Caenorhabditis elegans: one gene and its partners. The protein of the gene in region 1 purifies or fractionates together with the protein of each later gene. This does not show direct contact. Each region holds a gene or a part of one and is shown in the gene's direction. Other genes may lie near its edges.

Evidence for each region.
Region 2: the proteins of F53F1.2 (region 1) and acox-3 fractionate together in Caenorhabditis elegans (co-fractionation; one large-scale study listed by BioGRID). This does not show direct contact.
Region 3: the proteins of F53F1.2 (region 1) and ZK470.6 fractionate together in Caenorhabditis elegans (co-fractionation; one large-scale study listed by BioGRID). This does not show direct contact.

The regions. Positions count from the first base shown.
Region 1 is NC_003283.11:13,405,133-13,408,801, forward strand, and holds F53F1.2 (NADP-dependent oxidoreductase domain-containing protein), read left to right. Parts: upstream 1-1,683; 5' UTR 1,684-1,791; coding exon 1,792-1,995; intron 1,996-2,078; coding exon 2,079-2,322; intron 2,323-2,372; coding exon 2,373-2,542; intron 2,543-2,592; coding exon 2,593-2,682; intron 2,683-2,724; exon of another isoform or gene 2,725-2,734; coding exon 2,735-2,920; 3' UTR 2,921-3,109; downstream 3,110-3,669. Other genes in the region: cutl-1 (ZP domain-containing protein), read right to left, coding at 80-170, 231-380, 429-667, 714-882; F53F1.3 (NADP-dependent oxidoreductase domain-containing protein), read left to right, coding at 3,110-3,283, 3,331-3,452, 3,509-3,669.
Region 2 is NC_003282.8:6,244,823-6,250,132, reverse strand, and holds acox-3 (Acyl-coenzyme A oxidase acox-3), read left to right. Parts: upstream 1-1,640; 5' UTR 1,641-1,653; coding exon 1,654-1,752; intron 1,753-1,796; coding exon 1,797-1,928; intron 1,929-1,974; coding exon 1,975-2,142; intron 2,143-2,302; coding exon 2,303-2,444; intron 2,445-2,496; coding exon 2,497-2,818; intron 2,819-2,979; exon of another isoform or gene 2,980-3,000; intron 3,001-3,129; exon of another isoform or gene 3,130-3,151; intron 3,152-3,295; coding exon 3,296-3,396; intron 3,397-3,443; coding exon 3,444-3,540; intron 3,541-3,588; coding exon 3,589-3,762; intron 3,763-3,864; coding exon 3,865-3,979; intron 3,980-4,029; coding exon 4,030-4,571; intron 4,572-4,622; coding exon 4,623-4,734; 3' UTR 4,735-4,775; downstream 4,776-5,310. UniProt on the Caenorhabditis elegans protein: Involved in the first step of peroxisomal beta-oxidation by catalyzing the desaturation of fatty acid-derived side chains of ascaroside pheromones, which regulates development and behavior.
Region 3 is NC_003284.9:4,175,530-4,178,964, reverse strand, and holds ZK470.6 (MD-2-related lipid-recognition domain-containing protein), read left to right. Parts: upstream 1-1,657; coding exon 1,658-1,756; intron 1,757-1,804; coding exon 1,805-2,024; intron 2,025-2,071; coding exon 2,072-2,285; intron 2,286-2,336; coding exon 2,337-2,481; intron 2,482-2,601; coding exon 2,602-2,694; 3' UTR 2,695-2,900; downstream 2,901-3,435. Other genes in the region: mrp-6 (Multidrug resistance-associated protein lethal(2)03659), read left to right, coding at 235-510, 560-736.

The DNA.
Region 1 (3,669 bases):
TAATAAATATTAATTTATTTATTTATTTTTTTTTTTTTTATTTTTTTTTAAATCATACCTTTTATAAGAATTATCATACCTTTATCATTATCACACTTCCACTGATGATAAACCTGCTGACCTATTAAACCAAATTCTACAGGTTCACCGAACGGACCACCACTAAGGATCTTAAAGTTATACGTATACACGAAGCCAACCAGAAGAGATATTTTTAGTTTATGACGCACCTGATAAGTACAAGTTGGCATTGTCAAATTGACATTATAGCTTATTGTAGAGATTTCATCCACGGATATGTTGTTTGCAACAGTGACTTGGCTCTCCCGGTACAAGCACAACAAATTATAAGTTCTATCCACTTTTGTGATAAAATATGGCTGAAACAGAAAGCGATAAGGAAATATGTTTTATTATAAATAACTAACGTGAAATGAAATTGTGATTGTCGTTCGAACAGCAAGTCCCTTTGGATTCAATACTCGCTGTCTCAGTGCACCACATAATCCTATTTCAATTTCCAAGAAAGCTGAAAGTCTTCCAGTTCCTCTTGATGTACACACTTCTTCCGACGCAAAATCTTTAACAAAGATAACCCCAACAAATGGTTTTTCAGTTTTAATTTGAACTGATATAGTTCTCGAGTCACATTCAACTTGGACATCTCCTGAATATTTTGAAGCAGAGATAAATTTATTACTGAAAATAGTTACCGTATAAAGAATTTTGAATAGGAACAGGATTTACAGCCAGAGTAGCTAGGAGAAGCTGTAGGACAAGATGCATGTCTTCCAAATGACAATCATACTTTGATGATTCTGAGATCAAGAACCCTTTAGGAAAATAGTCCTCAAGTGTTCTTCTTATTTCTTTATTGTCCATATCTTAAACCGAGATATTAGATTGCAGAATAGGTTGTATCCAAGAATAGAGGGGAATTAATGGAGGAGCACTGTGAATAACCAGCTTTTATATTCCATAGAATTTTGGTTTCATGTTTATTGAAACCCTTTGTTTCAATATCAAACTGCTCCTGGAGGAATAATACTTTCCAACTTTTCCAGACATCTTTTCTTAAAAATTACCGTAATCAATTCCAACGATGCTCCGATATTTCGCAAGCGCGTGTTGTTTAGCCATTCCAAATAATCAACCAATTTTGTTTGTTTTTTGTTTTTTTTTTTAATTTATTTTATTGCTATTCGTTTTTTATTTGTTGTTTCATATATATATTAATTTTCCAAACTTGTCGTTAGTGTTTTGAATACCACAATACAATGAGGTTTTGCTATTTCCAACATTAATTCTCTGGCAAATCTCTGCGTCTCGCCCAATCCAAATTTTCGGTATTTTTTCGATGTAAAACAGAAAAGGAACTTTTAAAGTAAAATAATTTCGAATTCAAATAATGTATAGTTTTCTTTTCAAATTTTATTTTTATAATCCTCATGCTTATTGCATAATTCCAAACATCAGTTTCTCTGGCACCAATGAAACAAAATTCACAGATTATTTTTCTTAAAGAAAACTGTCCAAAGAACACTTTTACTTCTTTAAAAGTGAGGGAATAACTTTTGCTGTCCGCTCATTCCTGATGCGACTGACCTCGATTCAGGCCGCATCGACAAGTTGTCTCTTTCTCTAACCCCTTTGCATCTTTCTTTTTCTTGTACAATTCTTAGTCCACAGTCGGTATATGCCATTTTATCGTTCTAAATTAGAACTTCTAATCTTTCAAAACTTGCACTTTTTGCAATTTTCTCAGTGCTATATATTCAAATTCAGAGAAAAATGTCGGATTCGTTTGCCAATGTGCCAGGAGGATCACAAAAGCTCAACTCCGGATATAACATTCCATTCGTCGGATTCGGAACGTACAAAGTTACCGGAGAAAATGTTCCGCCAGCAATTGATGCAGCCCTCACTGCCGGTTATCGGATGTTTGACACGGCAAAGTATTATTTGAATGAAAAGGAATTAGGAGAAGCATTAAAGGTAAATTTTTATATTTTTATTTCAAAGATAAATTATGTTTACATTCTCTTTGTAATCAAATCTTCTTTATTCAAAATTTACAGATTCTCCTGCCTAAGCATGGATTATCTCGTTCTGATGTGTTCCTGACATCCAAATTCTTCCCAGAAAGCAAAAATTGTCGAGAAGCTTGCCGTGGATTTGTCGAAGAATCTCTACAATCTCTTCAAACCGACTATATCGATATGTATCTTGTTCACTATCCAAAACCGAATGACTCTGACAATGATGATGTGAATAACGCGGAATACCGGAAAATTGCATATGAAGTGCTGGAAGAGGCTAAAGGTTTGAAAATCAGAAATCTATTGGATTTTTCATTAATTTTATTATTTTAGCTGCTGGCAAAGTTCGTTCCATTGGAGTTTCAAACTATGAAATTGTGCATTTGGAAGAGCTCAAGACATACGCCAAGGTGCCGCCATGTGCTAACCAACTGGAGTATCATCCACATTTTGCAAGAATTCCACTTCAGAAGTACTGCAAGGAAAAAAACATTTTCTTCCAGGTTAGTTTCGATATTCTGGGGAAAACTCGTTTTATATAATCAATTTACAGGCTTTCTCCTCACTTGCAAGACACGAACCAAAGTTAATTGAAGATCCAGTCGTCGTTGAATTAGCTAAGAAGCACAATACATCAGTTCCTGTAAGTTTAATTAATTCTCAGACTGTATTCAAACAATTATACCTTTTTTCAGCTTGTACTTCTCGCGTGGGCTCTCCGCCAGAATGTTGGTATCGTACCGAAGTCGGTGACCCCATCAAGAATCGTAGAAAACTTCAAAGTAATCGATATTGCTCTGACTCCAGAAGATATTCAATCGTTAACAGCTCTTGATCGTGGGCAGCACTACATTCGTTGCACCGGATGGCTCGTCAAGTAAATGGCTTATCAATAATTGCAGTTTATTTCATAATCATTTTTCCCACATTGTGATATTTCCCTCTTTCTTGTGACTCTAACATGAAATTGAAACTTTTTAATTGTATGACGTCAGTTTTCCACTCTCGCAATATTCCGCTATAATATCTTTAGTTTCGTTTAGAAAATTTTTTAAAAAAATTATTTTCAGATGTCCATAAAGTTGAACACTGGTTACGATTGCCCACTGATCGGGCTCGGAACTTATAAAATTATTGGAGATCAGGTTCTCCCAGTTCTCGACGCTGCTCTTACAGCCGGATATCGACTGTTTGACACTGCAAAAGTTTATAATAATGAGAAAGAAATTGGAGACGCATTGGAAGTTTGTACTCAAGCGTGACGGAATATTTTTAAAAATTCAAGTTTAAGATCCTTCTTCCAAAGCATAATCTGAAGAGAGAAGATATTTTTATCACTACAAAAATGCATCCCAATACCGTAGAAAATGTGAAAAAGTTGGTGGATGAATCGTTGTCATTGTTGAAAACTAGGTAAATATACTTAGCTCCTGCTCCAATTTACAGAATAATATTTTATCGATTTTCAGCTACATCGATATGTATCTCATCCATTACCCGAAGTCATTTGACTATGGAGACCAGGATCCGATGAACAAGACTCTACGAATTGCCACGTGGAATGATCTCTGGGAGTGTAAGAATGCAGGAAAGATTCGATCTGTTGGAGTTTCCAGTTTTGAAATTCGCC
Region 2 (5,310 bases), on another chromosome or scaffold:
CATTGGCACACATGAAGCAATAATTAATAGGCACACACGGTTTTCAGTGAAATTCCTCAATTATTCTAAAACGGGGGACCAACCGAGAAATTTGCAAAAATGCGCAACTTTAAGTCTTTTGCACAACTATTCCCACTATACTACTAACTTACTCTAATTGCTTGATGTTTAAGCAATAAAATAACAGAAAAATAACATAGTATGATATATTGCATAAAAGAAGATAGGACCGCCACCAAGCAGTCGAAGAAGGCAGAATGAGTGATTTCTTCTTCAGAAAATGGGCGGGTTTGTGGCTTCTCTGACTCTCTCAAAAGCTCAGAATGTGTGACGTTAGAGCTAGAGATTATTGAAATGTAGGAGGTTTTGAGAGATTAGCAAAAAAGGAAAAAAGGATTAGAAATGTTTTCAAGCTCTTCTTTATGCCAAGATCATGAAACGAAAGACTTGTTTGAGAAGAGGGAAATAAGATTATGAAATTATGAAAAAAGATGGAAAATAAATAGTTTTAATTGTATTTCAATCATGCTTCAATTGGCCAACTCTTGTGTTCAAATTTAAATTAAACAAAAAAATTATTATGCTGTTTCACGAATACTATATGAACAGAGGCATTTTCTCTGTTTTGATATTGAAACTTCAGCTGAAAAAAAGATCTCGTAAAAACAGTCTTGATCATGAATTAAACTAATCTCTTCTTGTTAATGTTAGTAATGATAGAAAAATATTGCCTGAACTTTGTGGTTCCACTTATTTTAACTTATAAAATAGTGAAACGCATCTAGTAATTCGAAGAAAAAGCAAACTCTCTATTGAGGTTTTCAACAAAATCACAAAGTTGGCAATCACATTTTTTTCCAAATTCCACAAAATTGATGAGTAGGTTTTATCGGACACCTAATATAATTGCTCAAGTCAGAGCAAACCTATTATTATTATCAGTAATTTCAAGTTTTGGTAGTTCAGCCAAAATTGATTTCGGGAAAACTATGAAACCGCTAAAAATGTTTACATCAAAGTCTAAACTGCAAAAATGTTGGAAAATATTGTAAAAGTATGAAATATTGAAGTTAAAGTGCTAATAATTTTTAATTTAATTTTAATTTAATTTAATTTTTATTTTGACCAGTACGCTCCTGGAAATGTGTTACCCCCACTTTCGCCAAAACTGTATTTAGAAATTTTTTAGCGTATTTTTATTTAAAAACATGTTTTACACTTATGGAAATAATACTAAATTTTTTATTATCCACTACGTTGTTTTAAACTATTTACTTGTCCACATTCTCTCTCCGAGCCCACTTTAAAACAAGGAAACATGAATTTTCTGTAAAATTTCAGTTAATTTCCTCTGACCCTTTTTACAAACACCAGCTAATTACAATCTACTACGATAATTTTAAAAGACCATTCCTCCCCCTATTTATACAATACCACCACGCTGTAGTCAGACTGTCTTCGATCTCTGCGTCTCTCAATTACTTTCTATTTTCTTTGTTTTTGATAAGACTACACTCTTCCTACCCAGTACATATGCAATTGCTTTTGTCTTAATTTTGTTCAGTTTATTTTAACATATATTCTGCTGAAAATAAAATGAATCTTTTGAATTTAAAGGATTTATTTAGTAAATTTTTCAGTTTCAGATCAAAAATGAGTGCTCCTTTAATTGACAAATACCGGAAAATGGCAACTTTCGACTGGAAAAAATTGAAAGCAGCCGTTGAAGGAGAAGAACATGTTAGACTGAAGGTATAGTAGATTTTGGATTTATAAAATATTTATATATATTTCAGTCAGAAGTAGTTGCTAAAATGAAGTCAGAACCAGTATTTCACAGAGATTATCGAGTATTGAGTAGAGAAGAGCAAAGAGAAGTTGTTCATCAGAGATGGAAGAAAATTGTCGAATGGGGGTTGTTCAAAGATGTATTTCTTATTAAATTGTAGATTTTCAATATATTCGAATATTCAGCCGTACTCCGATCTTGAAAACTTCCATGCATTGACTGAAACTCTTGAAGCTTATGATCAAGGCACATCTGCAAGGCTTTTCCTCCACGGAAATGTTTTTGGAGCAGCTGTTAAGTCAATGGGAACAGATAGACATAAGGATTTGATTCAGAAAACTGAAAACAATGAGGTGAATTTCAAAGAAAATAGCATACAAAATTAAGAAGTACTCAAGAAAAAGAAAAATCAAAACAAATTTGAAAATAATTTATTCTAAAGAAATTTAAACAAAAGCGCATTGTATTCAAATCTGGAAAGTTTAGGTTTCCTTGCAAAATAGCAAATTTCAGATCGTCGGAGCATTTTGTCTGACAGAAGTAGGCCATGGTTCAAACACTGCTGAAATTCAAACAACAGCTACATTTGACAATGGAGAACTTGTTTTCAATACTCCAAGTGTCAGTGCAATCAAATGTTGGGCTGGAAATCTCGGTGGGTTTTAAAACATTTTTAATTTTAAATTTAAAAAAATCCATTTTTTTAGCTCACTCGGCCACTCACGTAGTTGTTTATGCTCAACTTCATGTCGAAGGAAAGAACGAGGGATTTCATGGATTTGTGATTCAAGTTCGTTGCCCTAGAACTTTCCAAACTCTACCAGGAATTACCATTGGAGACATGGGCTCGAAACCAGGATGCTGGCAGGGAGTAGAAAATGGCTGGATGGAGTTTAAGAACCATAGAGCTCCTCTGAGTGCACTTTTGAATAAGGGTTGTGATATTACTCCGGATGGAAAATATGTGACAAGTTTCAAATCTGCAAGTGAGAAGCAGAGTGTCAGTTTGGGAACATTGTCAGTTGGAAGGTATGTTTTCAATACTTTACGACGCCGGCCGTATAGAAAAATTTTTTAATTGAGTGAAATTTGTATCTAAAAGAATTTCTGTTAAAAAAATCAGGTTCTGAAGAATTTCTAGCCGCTGTTTTACCAACTTTTTAAATGTGTTGTTTTTTTCTCAGTTTTAGTAGATACAAGATGCAAATTTCACGGCCGAGCCTTATTATCAATAAAAGCAAAATCTCAAAACGAATCTATTCCAGCTTTAATCGATACTTTTAAAATATGAATTGATTTTCTAGAGTGAAGCCATTGTATTTAATACAAATAGAAATAATGGAAATGGCATTCTTAGGACAATTCGAAATTGTAAAAGCAGACGAATTCATAAAGTTGGGAAAACAGTGCAATCTATAAGTTTTTCCGATTGATTTTTTTCAAACAAAATACTGTTTCAAAATTCAAACTTTACCAACAATGGTTTCACAATAACACAAATTTCAGACTCGGAATTATCGCAAAAGGAATGATGGCTTGCACTTTTGCATCTACAATTGCTATTCGATACAGTGTTGCTCGGCGACAGTTTGGACCAGTAAAAGGCGGTGAGCACCATTCCTTTTCTCAATTTCTCAACTTTTGTATAATTCAGCTGAAAATGAGATCCCAGTTCTCGAGTATCCACTTCAACAGTATCGTCTATTCCCGTACCTATCCGCTGCAATTTGCATTAGAATATTCCAGAAGAAGTGGGAACTCTAAACAAATTGTTTTCAATAATTAGTTAAACTTTATAGGTTTGTCGGACATTTCACTGAATATATGATGAGAGTCATAATGGGAGAAAAGTCAGACGAGCTCTCCGAGTTCTCAAAAGAAGTACATGCATTGTCGTCTGGAGCTAAACCGGTTGCAACGTGGCTTGGTGTAGAATCCCTTGGAGAAGCTAGAAAAGCTTGTGGAGGTCATGGGTATGTTTCCTAACATAACCTGAAACTTAACTTTAAGAAACTCATTTTTTGAGAATTCGTCTTTCTATTTTTTCCAGATTAAAGTTAAAATTTAAATTACAGATACCTACAAATGTCACGATTGAACACCCTCCGAGATGACAACGATCCATCACAAACATTTGAAGGAGAAAACTTTATGATTTTGCAACAAACCAGCAATATTTTGCTAGGAAAAGTAAACTTAATTGTCAGATTCTTTAATCATATTGAGATTCTGATGTTCAGGCTCAATCAATTGGATCCATTGAGACCCCGATGTCTACTATGTCATTCTTGAATCAAAAACCTTCAAAGTTCTCATCATGGTCTTCGAATCCAGTTAATGACGTGTTGTCTGCGTACCGATATCTCACTTATCACTTACTTCAAACAACTTCGGCAGAAGCTTACAGACTAAAAGCATCTGGAAAGAATTCATTCGAAGTTCGAAATGAAATTCAAATTCATAGAGCTGTCAATTTGTCTGTTGCATACACAGAACATACAATGATCCATTGGGTTCAACAGTTCTTGAAAGAAATTGAAGATCAAAGTGTGAAGCCGGTTCTTCAAAAAGTTTTGAATCTTTTCTCACTTTTCCTTTTGGAAAGACATCTTGCAACTCTTTATATTACTGGATATGCTTCTGGTGGAAAGTTTGGAGAAGATCTTCGAGAGAAGCTTAGACTCGCTGTAGCCGAATTAAAACCCGAGGCCATTGCTTTAGTGGACTCGATTGCTCCAGATGATTTCATTTTACATTCAGCTCTGGGAGCATCTGATGGAAAGTCAGTTTTAAAATGTAAAGGTTTCTGCTGAACTTTAAATTTGATTTTCAGAGCGTACGAGCATATAATGGAAGAATTCCGGAAGTATACAAATGAACAACCAAGATGGGTTTGCGATTTGGCTCAGTTTTTGCAAAAGAGATCACAAGGATCCAAGCTATAATATTTCACAAACTGTATATTTCCCAATAAATCCAGTTTTTGAATAAATTCAAAATATACAAACAATTTCAAATTTCTTTGAAAGCTAAAATTTTTGCAAAAAATAAAAATCTAAACGTATAAGCAAAGTTTTCAGATTTATACATATCGTCGACGTGAAACGGCAAAATTTTTTAAATGTTTAATTGAAAAAATTTATTAAAACTTTGGTACCCGGATGTCAGGAAATGCTTAAAAGGCTTCTAACACTGGAAAATAGTTTCTCATTTAGAACCAAAACGATAATGTTGCGTTAGTTTAAATGAATTTATATGATTAATGTGAAACGGGGAAAATTTAAAATAGTGATAGCGCCCACGGGGAAAATGTTTAAAACTATTTATTAAGTGCCAAAAATCATTGTAGAACTTTCACAATGTATTTATAAAATAATATTTATATGAAATAACACCAAAATTTAATTTATTTCCACGCCAATTTCTAATTTTACTTTAAAAACTGTTCTCACAATATTATTGTATCAATGTTGTCGCGAAGTCGATGAATACAAAGATTAACTCGCTCACGACTTTTATTT
Region 3 (3,435 bases), on another chromosome or scaffold:
TGGACAAGACATAAGCAAGACTTGAGGAAGACTTGGACATGACCCCTCCCAAGTCTGATCCAACTTTTTCTCATATTTTAACCAAGTTCAAACTTCACCTCACCGTAGCCCTAGTTTTGTCCTATGTGTGCCTAAATCTGATCCAACGGTCTAATTTAATACGAGATTCCGAAATTCATATGAAATCGAAATTTTTAATAGATTCTGTAGGATAATCGTTGAAAAAATTTTCAGTGTGAGCTTAAACGTTCCATCACAAAAGAAAAAGGATTGAACGTCGAATTGGGCCAACGGGGAGTCAGCCTGTCTGTCGGTCAGCGTCAACTTTTCTGTCTTGCCCGAGCAATGATCCACCGATCCAAAATTCTTGTTATTGATGAAGCAACCGCAAATGTTGATGGAGTGACAGATGCTTGCATCCAGAAAACAATTCGAGACTTTTTCAAAAACGCCACAATCATCACGGTGGCCCACCGTCTTCACACCATTATGAACAGCGATAATGTAATGGTAAGTGGTTTCTCAACAAGCAAACAATGCCTAGGTTCGCAACTTGCAGGTGTTTGAAAAAGGAGAGCTCGTCGAGTTTGACAAACCGATCACTTTGCTGGATGATCAGAGCTCGCTGTTTTCAAGAATGGCTGCTCAATCAGGGGCTGAAAATTTTGACTCCCTTCGGGCGGCTGCATTGGCCCATGCAATCGATGATCAGTCATCGTATACGGATAATAGTTAAAGTTTCATTAAATTTCCATGTTTTCTAAATATTCAAATCATAACTTGTTTCACTTTCACATCATTTTATAGCAATTCAATTGTTCAATGTCACCTTTTCAAAGGGAATCGAGATTGTTTTTATTTCACTTTTTATTCCATCATTCCATTGAGCACAATAATTCCTTGTTCATACCATGATCTAAGATCATTTCGGTTTTGGCCCAGTGATCGCATCGTCCACATCGTGTAGCTTTATATGTGTCGAATTTAATTTTTCTTTGGTAATATCAGCAATTTTGTTCTGTGGTTTTTTTCTGACTTTCATGATTCTAATCGAAACATGTATTTCATGCAAGCTATTCTTTTCTCCATCCCCCTCATTTTTTTCCAATAAAGAAACTCTGTTATTTTTCTGTTTTTATTTTGTGCTCTGTGTTTGCACTGTCCCATGGAAATAAGCAGACCATTTCTGTGACGAGTGTCTGATAAAAACTTGTCAAGAGTGAGGAAGAGAGCCGTCTAGAAAGCAATGAGCAAATCTTCAAATGCCAAAAATGGCAATCTCGAGTGCTTCACCATTTGCTCTAATTAGAAATTGATCGAGCGACAAATGCGGGCTCTCGAGTGATTTGGCGGAGCTTTGGAACCAGGTGCGAATCGCGTTTTTGTCGGACTTTCAAGAACGCCCCACATGTTGGGCGCTCTACAAAAAAAGACGGTCAGGTATATAAAGCACAGAAAACAGCAGAACAGAGCGCACCCGTCGACCTCCCGCTAGCACCTGAGGCAATTCAAAAACCAACCCGCACCTTTTCGTGCGTCGAGTGCTCTATTCAATTTGCACTCATCTGTGTTTTATTCTAAACATTCGATACACCCAGGTTGCGGCCAGTTCCAAAAAAGTTTCCAAGTGAAGATTTCAACAAAAATTCTGTTAACGATGAATTTCCGTTTTATTCTACTATTCTTAATATTCCCTTTTGTTTTTGCAAGTTTAGAAGAATTTGAGCAAGATAGCGCTGAAATTAAAAAAGAAGTGGTATTTTTTTGTTTACTTGTGTTTGTTTTGATTTAGTTTATTTTTTAGCCTGCTCGTTTTCGATCTTTCAAAAACTTTGGTAGCCATCAAGATGCCAGTAATCAAGCTGCAGAAGTAGCTGGCTCGAACGAAGATAACACTGATGACCCTGAAGTTGCACCGGATGCTCCATACCTTATGGCAGATTCTTCTCTAGAACAAGAAGAAGAATGCGTTGCTCTTCCGAATCGAACACGAGTTCGTCCGTCGTTTTTCCAGTGTAAAGAAGGTACAGTACTTCTAGTAAAACAGAGCCCTAAATACCAAAAATTGTAGACACAAAGTTTGAACTTCACGGCGGTGCAATTACAAACGGCAACGGTGATGATACCTACCCGGTTTCCTTCAACTCGCCTATTCGAATTTTCCTCGACATCACCAGTAATTCTAACAAACGATATGACAATTTGGGCGTCGAAGTGTCAATCTTTAAACGTTCAACCGGATGGTTCGGATGTGGGTGGATGTTTTTACCAAGCTTTGGGCTGTTGTAAGTTGTTTTCTTTGCAGAACACCGAAAAACATTGAATGTTTTTTTAAGGAGCAACTATGATATGTGTGACGACAACCCGTCATGTCCGGTGACTCCGGGACGTCAGGTTATCGAATTCGAGATTGATCCAACAAAGTTGTTTACGAATCTGTTCCGAATGATTCACTATGACTTGGTGGGTACTGACCATAAGGTAAACGCGATGGCTATTGTACTGGAGAGCCGTTGACGGACGCTTAGCAAATACGTTTTTTTTTCTTAAATTGAAATATTAAAAAGAAATCCACTTCTTCAGTATACTTCAATTTTTCAGTCCGCCTACCAAATGATGGTTCGAGTCCGAGACAATCGAGATCCCTACCGAGAGTTGCTTTGTGCTACGATCCAAACTAGAATCACACTCTGAGACCAAGACACTTTTTATTTATTTATTACCAAGATCCTTATCAGCAGTATTTATGAACGATAACCGGGACGCAACCCAATTAATTTAATTCCCCTTCCCTACCTTCTCCCCCAGTGAACACCAGAACCAAGTGGTTTCTATTCATCCAGTTGTTTATGATTATGACTCTCTGTTACAGGTTATCAAAAAATGAATAATATAGTATATTCTGTTTTGATATGTGGGAATGGTCTGGAACAACTAAGGTGCATGTGTGAATAACAAGAATTGAAAATCACATGGGATCCGGCTTTCGTTAGATCTCTGTTTTGACACATGTTTATCTCGAGTAATAACGCTGAAAATTCCATAATTCCATAATCATTCTGCTGAGAGAGTAAATTAATTTCTTGCTACTCAGCGGAGAAAACTTCCAGAGGAATTAATTAGTCAAAAAGAAAAACAACAAACAAATAATATTTGTTGAGTAATGTACACTACTTGCAAAACTTTTGTCGACCAATGAGCATCAAATGCAATATGTTAAGCGATTAACATTAACGAAACTTTAAAAAATATGTATATAAACCTGATCGTTGAGAAAAAAGTAAATAACACCGGGGAAAGTGCGCGGGAATGGTGATAATGAAGTGGAAGCGTTGTTCGGGATAAGACCAGTAGCTGGAATGCAGTCTAGTATAAGAAACCTTTTGCTAACCTTTTACACAATAAATAATTAGTGCACTGGCATTTTGGAAAGAT